Linked DNA regions of Styela clava. The protein of the gene in region 1 purifies or fractionates together with the protein of each later gene. This does not show direct contact. Links are inferred from orthologs where the notes say so. Each region holds a gene or a part of one and is shown on either strand. Other genes may lie near its edges.

What was found. The genes of interacting proteins can lie anywhere in the genome.
Region 2: the proteins of YY1-associated factor 2-like (region 1) and protein max-like purify together in Homo sapiens (affinity purification with mass spectrometry; 3 studies listed by BioGRID and IntAct, with this or other methods). This does not show direct contact. The link is inferred for Styela clava from reciprocal best matches to the Homo sapiens genes YAF2 and MAX.

Annotation. Positions count from the first base shown.
Region 1 is NC_135253.1:13,466,296-13,473,554, reverse strand, and holds YY1-associated factor 2-like, read right to left. Parts: upstream 3,003-7,259; 5' UTR 2,874-3,002; coding exon 2,842-2,873; intron 2,436-2,841; coding exon 2,329-2,435; intron 2,175-2,328; coding exon 2,095-2,174; intron 1,348-2,094; coding exon 1,241-1,347; intron 1,135-1,240; coding exon 1,035-1,134; 3' UTR 312-1,034; downstream 1-311. UniProt on the Homo sapiens protein: Binds to MYC and inhibits MYC-mediated transactivation. Also binds to MYCN and enhances MYCN-dependent transcriptional activation. Increases calpain 2-mediated proteolysis of YY1 in vitro.
Region 2 is NC_135255.1:8,057,734-8,064,779, forward strand, and holds protein max-like, read left to right. Parts: upstream 1-4,034; 5' UTR 4,035-4,235; coding exon 4,236-4,268; intron 4,269-4,679; coding exon 4,680-4,712; intron 4,713-5,916; coding exon 5,917-6,024; intron 6,025-6,344; coding exon 6,345-6,468; intron 6,469-6,697; coding exon 6,698-6,792; 3' UTR 6,793-7,008; downstream 7,009-7,046. Other genes in the region: uncharacterized protein LOC120330631, read right to left, coding at 217-295, 617-754, 1,217-1,219. UniProt on the Homo sapiens protein: Transcription regulator. Forms a sequence-specific DNA-binding protein complex with MYC or MAD which recognizes the core sequence 5'-CAC[GA]TG-3'. The MYC:MAX complex is a transcriptional activator, whereas the MAD:MAX complex is a repressor.

The DNA of each region.
Region 1 (7,259 bases):
GCGTGCTACGGTCGATATAGGTGGTAGTGAGCACATGGTATAATGAGACGCCCAACTGGTGGCTGAATCTGGATGAGAGAATTTTAAAATACTTCATATAAATCTGCCTTCTAGATTTTCGACATCTGTGTTGTGTAAATAAATAAGTATGACAAATAATTTTTAATGTATGCTGAGAGTAGCGTTTTTAGGCTATGACTCTGAAAGCTATTCCAACGGCAGATTTCTGTTACTCCACCCATGTGGCTTATTGTTCATACATATGCCACCATTTCTCATAGCTGAAAACTTGATAATCCTCACAAAACCAATTTGCATATGAAAAGCTACTGTTTTATTAAGAAAATTAGTAACATGATATAACAGATAGTTAAAAATCCAAACAGAAGTCAGGCTCATACTGTCTGTCCTTAGCAAATATTTAAGCCCTCTTGGATGTAACACAAATATATACAAAATGTTAAATTGCCTTCAAAATAAAATGTTATATGGCTAATCCCTTAGGCTTGATATTTAAACAAGCAGACAGACAGTACCACTTACAAAGTTTAAAGTAAAATTAAAGAAAAAAACGCAGTCAGTAGGCCAATGACACCACTGACATTCTAACAATCAAATTTAATTGGAGGCTTGTTTACATATGGAATGAAGTGTTCGTTGCACTAATGCTTGTCCGGTCTATGAATATACAAACCATTCCATTCACCATTGACATTAAGCAATGATCACAACAGCAATGAGATATAAATATGAAATATCTCAACATGCAAAAAGAATTGTAGGAAGCATTCGGTCCAAGAGAAAAAATATGCTAAAATGTGGCACCCAAAGCGATGATCAGGAAAGTTATTCTGAAACATTATTTTTGGAGCAATTTATTTCCATGCCAGGCTCCTAATCATATGCCATAGGTTTTAACACTTTGACACCAGAAGTATTTAATTTTTGTCAAAACGAAATAAAATGAAATGATATCTAAAATCAGAGAATGGAACCAAGTGTCAATTCACTCATGTTTTCATTCTATACTGTGTTTATTTTTTCGGTTTGAATTCTGTAAAAGTGATGCTACTGTCTCTTACTGTGATGGTATAAGTATCCGCAGAGCTTCTGTCTATTCCTTTTATATGGCATCTGTAAAAATGCAATTTAATCAGACAAAAAAACATTTCAAATATTCATTATTGAAAGAGATTAACAATACGCCAATTTCTTGCCTTGATGATAAATGAATACAAACCTTGCTTTTTTCTTTCTCTTTCGTTTCTTATATTCTGATGGCTCTGGAGACTTGTCAGACTCTTCTTTCAATTTTTTAGCAGGATGGACAAGAGTAGCTTGAGGCACCTGAGATAAAGTACTTGGTAAATTCTAATTACCGTACATTTAATATTTAAGCTTTAGTATGGTACAGAATTAGGATATTTGTTTTTCTGCAGGTTAGCTATAACAAGGAGGCAAGCGCCAAGTGGAAAGACTAGGAATAAGAGAGTTCCAAGTGGCAATTGATGATTTATTAAAAGGACCTGTAGGTGAGATTATACCGCCCATAGAGATGTCAGAAAGAGGTTATGATCGATTCAACATTGCCAGAGAAAGATCTAAGAGGAAAAGAACATCAGAGGTTCTTGGGTACATCTTTTAGCACAGAATTTTTGATGACAAAGGGGAACCTTACAATAAGCTAAGTAAAGTCGCATTTCGCGGCATGACTAAAATAAATTGGATATTTGGAATTTGTTGTTTGATATTGGAAATTCTTCATTTCAGGAATAAGAATTTGAAAGTTTCCTTTGAAACTAGGTATTTTGGACACACCAAAAGTGGCATTGAATGGGTAAAGTAAAACAGGCGTCAATATGTCACGATATATTGATAAAATATGAATAATAAAAAATAAAATGACTTTGTTATTTGGGGACATTCTAAAAAAGGCAAGAGAGAGATATAGAAACAGTTACTCTATCTCACATGTGACATATTTTATAATATACCTCATATTAAATTTCAGTTTTGGCAATGTCTGTCTTAGGTCCCATAAAAAATGATTAAAACTATTTAATTTAACATTTGGCAAGCAATTTTATATCTTACTTGGGTTATAGTAACTAATCTTGTTGCCTCTTGCTGAGCAACTATTTGCTGATTCAATCTTGGTTTTCTTGTTGATGTTCCTGCAAATGTCATGTTGTATTTAGCCCAAGATAATTTACATTGACATAAGCTCTGATACATTCCATGTAGAACTACTCAGAGCAAGATTTTGATTAAAAAATATCTTAAAAGTCATCAATTAAATGAAATGCATGTCAGCATGTATATAAATACCCTTCCGCACATCACACACAGAGCATTTAAATGCTTCGGGAGAGTTTTTGTAGGTACAGACGCTACAATCCCAAAAATCATCTTGCAATGCCTTCGCCAGCCTTTTTCTAAAATGAATTGAAAATAAATTTTGAAACAGTAATAGTTACATAGTTAGTTAAACTACTGTAATGAGGACCAAAAGAGGTAAGATTTTGAGATAGTTTTTAGACTACATGATAGCATTAGAATGTCAGTGAACGAATTTGTAAAGTACCGGTACAATTTACTTAAAGATCAGAAGATTTGACCATCAAATTAAACACGGTAGTTTATAATGAAAATAGAGACTTAAAAACAAAAATCGGTTTGGCAGTAGATAAACTGGCCACATCAGTTTTAACAAACAACATAACATGTTAGGCAGAGGTTTAAAATGACGAGAGTCAGCGAGTAAGGTATTCCTAACTCTTAGCACGATAAACCATAGCCTACCGTACCGGTACCAATCTAGAATACGAACTACAGTAATACCTTGTTTGTGAACTTGCTTTTCTGTCGACCATTGATTTCGCGCAGCTCGAATTATTATAAATCAAGTAAGAAGAGAAGCCACCGCGAAACGGCTACACACGCATTACGCACTCGCAAAGATAGAGATTTTGCTGTGTTATTTATTGTTGTTCCATTCAAGCCGCCCTGGTGGAAGGAGTCTGGTAATAATGCACTCGGTAACAAAATATAAAGAAAATTTCGTTCGCCTCGTGTATAAGGTACCGATAGGATGAAAGGATAGGATTTACATATTTATCCCGGGGGAAAGGAAAGCCGATAAGACGGCTTATCCATATGGCGAACCACGGCCTCTCCAGTGTACTTGATTATATTTGGATAATATATAGTACCATAATCATATAGACCCCTGGATTGTAGTGGCGGAACCCTAGGATTTCGCGTAACGCTGGTTGAAAATCACTGATGTAAGCGTTTCAAGGAAAATGCATTTCACATTTGAGTAACCGTTGGTCTGCGATAACGATTCACATTAATAATCTCCGCTTCTAAAAAGTTCAATTTCATAGACTTAACTTCTTGCTTTCATGTGCTATTATGCTTTCTGAGCTAGAATTTTGATGGCAAATCTACGTGGTACCGGCAATAATATTTATAATTGAAACGTGGTATATGGAATGGACACAGGAAAAGATCTGATTCAATGTACTTGATGGAAAAAAGAATGGGAAGGGCTGTTATCTACTTATCTGGGAATGTGATATCTTTAGAAAAAGTTCGTGATAATCATAAAGAAACAAAAGTTATCTGAACTGAAGATCAGACAAAATTTTCACAACTGGATTCTCAAGCGTTCGACGAAAAGAGATGTTAGATTACTAAGGATATCAGCCGACCTGTCTGCATTCTGGAGATTTTGGTTTGTGGAACTGGTTAAAAAAAGCTAATTTCATGGATGACCATCATTGGAAAATGCTCAAGATTATAAATTTTTATATGAAAACTTTCTAAATTCGAACCATTTTTTTAAACAAAGAACAACGCCCGAAACTAGTTTTCGAGTTTTTACATTTGTTGGTTTACTTTTTAAGCTTTGTTTGTTTACTAAGAATAGGAGAAACAGCAGCTAATGTTAATCACTTAGTCTTAGATGTCATTATTAGGATTCGCATTTCGGCACATGTACCGACACATAACCCTCATTCTACTTATTTCGCAATCTTCACCACTATTACTCACCAGTATATATATATATAAAACTGTAAAAGTAAGCTTAGCCCGTGAATATTACTTTCTCGAGTTTTAATATGCTGTATATGATTTTTAGTTAAATTGTCGTGATGTGTTTCTTTCACTTGTGTGAGTGTGGGTGAATTCGGTCTGGTTACAGCGTTCGCTATAAACCAGGGTTGTTCAACCTTCTTGGCCGAAGGGCCACACGTAGTTTACTAATAATTGCGCGGGCCTCTTAACATAGCATTATGTTCTAGTTTTGCTACACTGACTATAGGTTGATAAAAAAACAAATGATACCCGCACACCAAATTCGCCAACTGAGCAGTAACCTTGATGTCAGTGCTTTCGTCAAGCGCCAAGTAATGCGATGAAAAATTTCCCGCCTTTGCAATTAAAGTTTCCGCTATACAATTCTCAAGCTCTTCGACATGAAGAGGTATGGTCTGTTTTGACAGGCTATTTTTGCAAACACTTCATTTATTTCCGGACGTAAATCATTGACAACCCGAACAATAGGCCTGCATAGGCTTACCATACGTCCCGCTTTAGGCGGGACAGTCCCGCTTTCTAGCGTCTTGTCCCGCCGTCCCGACAAGTCAGCCAAAAGTTCCGCTTTGGCGTTCAGACATCCAGCATAATACAATACAACAATACAATTTTATTTTGATCTTTCGTCTACAGCCTGATAACACAGAACACAAAATTAAAACAAACAGACAATGGCGACGAAAAGATCGGGGAAAAGGGCAATTTTATTTTGATCTTTCGTCTACAACCTGATAACACAGAACACAAAATAAAAACACAGACAATGGTGACGAAAAGATCGGTGAAATGGGCAAAACCTAGAGGAAGATTTATAGCGAACGCTGTAAGCGTTTGTGCCCATTTACCCACACATTTACCTCACACAAGTGGAAAACACATCATTGTAATTTTACTGAAAACATTAATAAACAGCATGTACATGAACACCCGAGAGTATAATTCACGGGCAAAGCTTACTTGTAAAATTGTAAATAAATTTTGATGAGCAAAAGTGGTGAAAACAATTAGAAGTCGTGTGACGGTGCCTGTGCCGAAATAATACACGAACATGTTCTCGTTACTGTTGTTGCTGTGTAACGCAACGCTAGCCTACTATAATTACTGAAGGTGTGAATGTTTTGTTTGTTTCGTTGTTTCCCGCTAACATTGTTAGCGAACGTATCACATGTAAATGCAAATCTAATTGGTCCTGTTCGGACGTTCACGTGAATGTAACATTGAACAACGTCTTTTTGAAGGTGTTATCTACAGAAAAGCATGCTTGGGCGAATAAATAAATTCTCAATGCTTGAAAACGACAGACTGTTTCTTTATTCCTTTTGCTGTACATGCAAAAAATTTGAATTTGGATAATTTGTATCATTAGCGTCTGTTCCTTTCTATTTTTCGAACTGAACCCGATATTTGGACAGAGAGTATGCGCATGAACTCTCGATGACAATATGGTCAATGAAGAGAGCCGGGATGGCTCTAAATGCAGGCCTATGTAGTCAAATCGGAAACTGTAAAGTTACAGGATCACAGCTAAGGGGTCGTGTCTTTGGTGGCGTCCCGCTTTGAAGTCGAAAAAATATGGTGACCCTAGGCCTACATAATATACATTCCTTAACGAATTCTCAATCTGAGAATGGCTTCGATTGTTTTGCGATAACGTCATAGAAGGTAGTAAAAGACTGAGTGTGTAAATCGTTTGTATTACCGTAAATATTTACTACTACTAAATGTCCAACTCCGCTCGCCGTATAATAAACAAACAAAGGTGATGTTGCACCTCCAAGTGGCGGGCGTTACGGTTGGTTTTGTTCAGACAAGATGCTTAACGACGACGACGCTCCTGCATCACAGCTCGAAAACTAGCCCTGTTCATTGATGACTGATCGAAATATTTGCTGAGGGACGAAGAAATTTGATAAAAATGAACAAATAATTGTGAAAATGAAGACACAGTCCGTCTTGCAAATGACCAGGATGATGTGACAACTTCCTTGTCCAAAGAAAGCAAGGCATCAAAAATGCGATGCATTGCAAAAAATGTCAGTCAGATGTAGGTAAAGTGGTGATGAAAATGAATACTTTGCACAATATATATAAAAAAAACGCTTAGTAGCACAGCATTTTGGTCTCACTCCATCTCAAGTTTTGTAGCTTACACAGTAGTTTTTTCTCCACTTGACCTATAATCAGGGCTGCCACAACGTCCTTATTTTTAGAATTTGTCCTTATTTTGAAGGTTTTTGTTTTAGGAAATATTTGTCCTTATTTCTAAGAAACATCTTTATTTTGACGTCCTGATTTTTAACCTCATAAATGAATATACCAGTAAATAAAACTTTAAATTTAGTTTAGATTTGGAACTTCATAAGAGATAAAATGAGTAAACGTAAAAAATTTGCCGTGATGATTATGAGAAAGAATTCAACGGCGTCAAACGAAACGAAGAACCAGTGATTTGCGCACTGCAGCTTCTGTGAATGTGACAACAATCTGGAATGCATAGGTAGAGCAGCAATTTCTGTTAATAATGCAACCCAGAAACACAGGGCTCTGCTCAAGAAATTAATCAAACCAATCTATAAATAACTTTTTTAAGAGTCAATGATTATACAAAAGCTATCTTAACACATGCAAGCAGCTGAAATTTATTTCCGTCATCACATTATTGAACATCCGACACTTGATATAAAAGAAAAATATTTTCAAATCATTCATGAGCGAATACCTTTCAAACCACAACACTACTTGAGGAAGTATTCAAAAAATTTGAGCAAATGTATACGCAAAGTACTGCAGCCAAAATAATAACAACAAGATGGACAATAGGACTCATGAAATACGAAAACAATTGAAGAAACACAGCAGCTAGAACGACGATTAAGATGTATGTGCTTACAGTCAAGTTTCCGTACTCCTGAAGTATGCGTACCAAGAAACGAGGACACTGGAACGTAGTATGTGTATCACGTTAGGGTTAGGCCAAAATTTTATTCCTTTTTCCTTATTTTAGTTCTATTACGAGTTCAGGGCCTAACCAAGTGAGTTTTGTAGTATTTGTACCTAAAAGTTTGGCCTATGGTGGCCCATCGTTGTCACGTGTAAAATTTAAAAAAAAATGAAAAAAATAAAATGAAAAGGCGAAAATAAAAAAATAGTTGTGA
Region 2 (7,046 bases), on another chromosome or scaffold:
CAAGGTAGGTGTTGCCTCTTTTTCGTGAGGATTATTGTATATCCAAGCAAAGGGCTATAGTACATCAGGAGCCGCTATTTCTCTATTTTAGTTAAATGTGGGCAGTCTGTTCATTTATTTGTGTTTCCCACATCTCTGCTTATCATTTTAAAGATCCTCGCATCTAATGGAATTATTAACCGCATCTGCTGAAAAATTAAAATACTGCAAACCTACCTATGATGCAAATTTCCCCGTTGTTGCACTTTTCAATAAATTCACCATTACTCCAAAGAAATGGTCGATCGTCATTTCCCTGGAAGTATTGGGAAGACACTTTAAAAAAAACGTAGTAAATATCCTCAACGCAAGTGACGCTAGACAACCTTATTTATCGTAGTGCAAGGCCGAGCTTATTCGTGTTCGTGCAACAACCATGTTCAGCGGTAGGATTTTACTCGTAGATGCCTATAATTCGACTAAACGGCACTAGCGTTCACCTCACAGATGATGTTACAGCATTCTTACAGATGTGCGAAGTCACTTTCCTCATTTCAGATTTATAAGTTTTAAACAAAAAGCTATAAAACAATACAATATACAGAAGGATTTTTGACAAAACGAACAGCAATCTTACTTCAGTAGTTAGATTTTCAACAAGATGGTCCGAATCAAAATTATCAAGATCCAGAAAAGAATACCAATCGTTGAACTTGAATCCTATTTCTCTCAAGTGGTGTTCAATACTAGCAGTATTCATAGACACTCCTCCGACCTCAAAAATAGTATAAAGACATTACGTCACTAAAGAAAGTTACGCTTTTGAACCTCATTGATAGAAAAATATAACCAAATGGGATGAAAACTCAATACATTAAATTGTGCACCCAAATAATTGATAATAATTCTAGTCTGAAATTGTTTTTGGAACTTGACTTGGTCGAGTCTTGCAAATGACCGGATTCCATTAGCAAAAAAACAATATAATAGTTTAATAATAATGCACATTTTATATAAGCTGCATCATTTCACCTACATTGCTAAATAGTAAGACCCACTTAATTCAGCTCAAAATTATAAATAGTAAACAGTATTTGCACCTGAAATCATTCAGACAACTTCCGTAAACTTTGAAAACAGTTGGAATTTCATTGCAAAAAGGGTGAATCCATACAGAACTTTAGACAATTAAGAAGATTATTTGAAATACATAATAATATAATCAAAATCACCGTACCATTTTGCAATATAATTTGTCCCTCGATCAAGTTGCTTCGCCTGTCGCTGTTACCAGGTAAGATGCTATCCGTAATCAGCTGTTTGGGTAACATTATGACGAGTAGAAACGCAAAACATGTGTTTAGATACTTTATTGCGTCATAACGGGAAAACATGAGCTCGCCATTTAAATTCCATCATGCCCATCAGATTAACAGATAAGCGCTCTCCATTTCTTCAGGGGTTCCTCGTTACTCCATCTTTAAACCTATCAAAACGGTTCATATATTTGATTGCTTTGGTATTTACTCTTTTAGTACCGCGACCCCCAAACATAATAATTTTGATGAACTGAACTGTCTCTGCTTTCCCTCCCTTCAATGTCGAAAGAAAGTAATAAAGCATTCATCTACATTTAGCCTGTTTGGTCTCATCTTGATTTGGACATATTCTGTATATATTCACGTATCCTGACAGCGCGGAAATTTCATGCCAAGTTCTGCGTTTCATGTATGGTAGCGCCAAAAAATGAAGTCTTCTTTACTGCACGTTACGAAGAAAATAAAAAAAAAAACTGCAATACAATTCCGTATTTGCATAAATATATGTTGAATAAAATACATGCACGGATGGCTAGCAAGATTAACAGATATGCAAAAAAGTATACATCGCGTGTATTACCGAGGAAAAAAAACTTGAAAAGAAATAAAAATCTTCGATCTTTCACTTTATTAGCAAATATCAATTTCTTGAATATGAACGCAATGTTCGTATTTGCACAGGTACATATAAATGATATCAATCGAACCCGAAAGTGAAGTATTAGTTGCAAAACAAGACCATTAAAAGCAAACAAAACACGTGGGTTCAGCGCATGAGGGCCCGTTCACATATGTTCACACCATTGCGTTGACGCACCTTAAAACCTTGTTTATTTAACTTAATCGTGCGTTGCTGCGTTAACGCATTGCGTCAACGCAGTGCGTTGTTGGAAGACAATTCTTGCGGCTTGAACCAATTCCAGTTTCGACAGAAGTAAATGCACTGGTATAACACGTATAGCTTTAACTAAAACGTATTTGGCAATAATATCGCCCATATAATTTTTACAAGCCGACTAGTCCACTAGTCCAGCTCGCGGTATGATCGACATGGTTTACTATATACCAAATTAATTGCAAGAAAGCTCACGGCCTCCGGCCAACTCAGTCGGACACGTGACCCACCGAGTGACCAGCGGTAACCCATAGTGAGGCGTTGACCACCGAGTTTATACCGAGGCGCGCTTTAAACATTGTTTCTTTATTGTCCCTACCTGCTTTCACAGCGCGGAAGTTAACTGATTCGCAACCAATCAGACCGCTCCGTTACACAGAAGTGAGAGAAGTGAGGTTGTTGTGAAAATGAAATAGGAGGGCACGTGTATTAGGTGTATTAGGCGTGAGACTTCAGCGAATACCGTAGTTTTCATAAGTCGTTTGCTTTGTTTGGCTTTCCTTTAGTCTCGGTGTTGGTTCCCGTTTTATCGTCATCTTAAATTTCGCAATACATGGGAAATATCTTATATAGACAAGCTGTTGTGTTGAAGGGGTTCATATTCTAGTACCGGTACTGTAGTAAATTATTACAGCAGAATCGAACCCCTCCAAACGTCTCGGGTCTGTCGGTGAACAGGTGAAACCATTGTCTGATTGTTAGCATTCTTATTTTAATTTTAACCAACTAGGCTACTCGACTCGATTTTGAATGTATAAATAGTTCAAATTATTCTATTCCTATTGTTTATTACTGGGAAGATCTGAATAAAGGTAAAAAAACAGAATTACAGAATTGAGTTGAGAGAAAAGAGAAATTTTTCTGATATTTCGCTTTGTGTGACCAAGGTGGTTTGAATAAACTGATTCTAGTTTTTTTTGAAACGAACATCTACGGACTGAATTACCCTAACTGCTGAACTGTCATCAGAAAAATAGTTGCAAATGTCATAACATCATGCGCTTAAAAAGCGAGAATAGGGTACCAGTATATCTTTTCTGAATTCCAGAACTCAATGACATTTTAGATAGTTTTGTAGTTATTAGTATCGAACTACTTCAAGTAAAGTTTGTATGGTGTACTCCTGAATTATGTTTTCTTCAAAATAACCGACTGTGTATAGAAAAAGAGTAATAGTTGTAACGGTATATATATTTCAGTATTTATCATTGAACTGCTGGAATATTGTTGTTTGATGCAAGACTCTGTCAGTCTGTAGTGTGTTCCTAATGCAATCTTCAGATCTTGAGTGAACAAATGAGTCTCATGTATTTAGTGTATTGCAATTAGGTTTTTTGATATTACTGAAAAAACAGCAGCTACAGCTGCGTTACTGCAGTTCTAGGATTTTAGCAATCCAAAAATCTGCTTGTTCACAAATTTGTGGGAAAAGATATCAGATACCAAATTGAGTCCCTTCCACTGTAATATCTTTCAATGGTCTGTCAGCCTCTTTTTATTCAATTTGGAAACTTAGTTGTTATATTTTCCTGATTATAATATGAATTGTGTATATTATTTATTACGGATACTCTATACTGCCATAGTATGCTCTGTTGTCCATCACTTTTCATCAACAGCAATTTAAATTGTTCCATCAAAAAGTTATGCTCACTTGTTTTTGAGAATTTTGTTTCTTTTCATAATTCGTATCGTTGAACACCAGTTTTGTAATTTCGTTAAAAAGATCAATGTCATGGTCGGAGAGGAGCTGTAATAAAAAACATTATGCGGATGAATTTGACCATGGCATCTCTGTTGTGCCAAGTGCGTGTTGAAGTAACCTCGCTTTTTTTACTTATCCATATAAAAAGCTATTAATATCTTGTTTATTTGGATTGCTTTCACAAAAGCATCGATACTTAATATCATATTCTGATCCGATCATAAGCTGCATTTTAGTATTTTATTTCATGGATCTGTGGTAACAGGATTATTATTTCCATCTTTTGGCAATACCAACTAGCAAGCTGGATCACCAATACACAAAATCGTATGATGAAATGAATGATGTGGATATTGATGTTGAAAGTGAGGTAATGAGAAAGTATTTGTAATGTATGATTGACAGATTATATGCTCTGCATGATGAAATGCTTCTAATCAAACTCCTTGGGTAACAAAAAAAATAGTATCCATAAAGTTCTTGATCATTCTACAAAAATGAAGTTCTGTTTGTGTATAATTTTATCTAAAAGTTCCAGCAATCTGGATTATTTTTACACAAAAGTTGTTTTCTCTAGAATGTCTGAATGTGTTCCAAATGACCTAGGTTCTGTTTTTGGGTTACCCTGTACCGACTCACAGCAGAGTCTCAAAGCTTTCAAATGATAGAAGAATGAAATTGTGACATTAACTGTATACTTCACTTCAAACAATTTCAAAATTAAAGTTTTAAAAATATCTTTTGACTGCAAAAAATAAAACACAGCAACAATTTGTTTCAGGATGAAGATCGTGAAAGTCCAGCTATGGGAACTGTGAGTTTACAGAGATGTTTTTTGTTTGTTACGAAAGTGTGTTACAGGGTGGTTGTACTATTGACATGCAGATAAAATGAAGAGCAAATAAATGCCCCCATGCTGACATGAATCATCTCTGTTACATTTCATATGCAATGTTTGCCTAAATATGTAACTTATTTCACAATGTTCTCGCTGCCATGGTGTTTGCCCCAATATTTGCATACTTAATTTCAATTGAAGGGAAATCTGTACTCTGTATTATCAATTTTATATACAAAAAGCAGATTCAGCTTTAATAAACAACAATCTATCTAACAACAATATTATCCCTGTATGTAGATACTTTCTCTCTGTTCATTTTTTGATTTCTGTCATACAGGGTGTCCAAAAAGTTTCGCCCGATTTCATAGCAACCTCAATTGCAAATTTGAATAAATTTTGTTTTATGCTAAATGGGGACTACAAAATCCAACATTTATAACATCCAATTAGATACAGGTTGACTATAAATCATTTCTATAATTAAAAAAAAAAATGGTTATAAAAACTTTATAATAGGGCAAAACTTTTTGGACACCCTATACAAATTATTCAGAAATATTGTGTTTATGTTTAATTGACAATAAGTTGTTTTTTCTCCATGCACACTAAGAAAAGATAGATAAGAAAAGATTTACATATTTATCCCGGGGGAGAGGAAAGCTGATAAGACGGCTTAACCATATGGCGAACCACGGCCCCTCGTTCGGTTACCATTCCATGGAACCACCCAACGGCGGCGAGGAGTCCAGCAATCCTCTCGCACATAACCATCCCGCATGGGATTCGAACCTGCGAACCCACGCAGAGTAATTAGAGGTGCGGTGGCGAGCGTATTCCAAACGCTTAGCACGATGAGCCACACCGCCGCACCTTGCACACTGTTTTCAACCCTTTATTTACATTCGTCGTTTTTTATTTTGGTAGGTGAGTCAAAGTTAGCTTTGTTAATATCTCTTTCTCGACTCGCTGATGGACAATTATCCTTTTATCGATTTCGATCCTTTTATCGAATTCGATTTCCAATAGGTTTTCACAAAAATATCAATTCGTTTTGAACAGTTTTTATGAATTAGCCATAGATTTGAAAATTGTCTTTAGATAAGAGCAATAAGTTTGGTTGCCACTTTAATGTAATTCAGTGAATGTACACTATAACAAACTTTTTTTATCAATTAAGTCCAACAAAAGAGCTCATCATAATGCTTTAGAAAGAAAAAGAAGAGATCATATAAAAGAAAGTTTTAATGGACTTCGTGATTCTGTACCATCATTAGAGGGTGAAAAGGTGACTTCTAAATTGTAATCAATATTATGTGGATAATCAGTTTTAGACAAATACTTATGAGCTTTGTTACTTATCGATTTTAATCGGTAAGTATGTTGATAGGTATTTGTCTGTCTGTCTGTATGTCTGTTAGATACCAGCGATATCTCACGACCAGAAGCCTATTGATTTTGGGCGAATTATGTTGTATAATTAGCGAGTTATTAATTAATTAGTGATGGGACACAAGGTGTCACTATGGAGTAAGAGTGCTGTTTCGGGGATCCCCTAACTTTCGATCGATAAGTCTTTGGTCTCTGACCGATATTCTCGTTTTACAGTCATCAAGAGCACAAATTTTAAATAAAGCCACAGACTATATTCAACTCATGAAAAGGAAAAATGTAACTCATCAACAAGATATAGATGATTTAAAGCGGCAAAACAGGCTATTAGAGCAACAAAGTAAGTGTTGAAAATGAGTATTTCCGTTAGGCATATACCGGTATATATATTAAATTCGCTGTTGGTCTTATGCAAACTTTTAAAATGAGATCAGTTTCAATGGTTGTGGGTATCTCACTTAGAAAGGGACCGACTGTTGTTGAATTCTTAATTATTTCTTGTGAAAATTTGCAATTTCCAACACATAATATTTTTGTAAATTGCAATTGATATATTGATATGTTTTCAGTTCGAGAACTTGAAAACTCAAGTAGACAATTTGAACAAAATGGAGACACAAGTGAATTAGATTCTGATGAAAGTGCTCAACAACAATCATCATGAACTTGCCTCAACGCCCATTATAATAAACTGTGAGGTGCATTCTATCCTGATTTCTGTTCTTCTCTTCCATTGCACATTTACTTTTTAGTTCAGCTCAAATAGTTGCTGACCTGTACATCCTTTTGTACCGCTTCGCTTCATTGAATTCTAGCATACAATCCTGTATTTTTTGATCTTTTATGTATTTATATTAATAAATTTGATGTATTATTATAATTTGGGGCCCATGGTCGTTATGCTATGGGTTCGTCTTT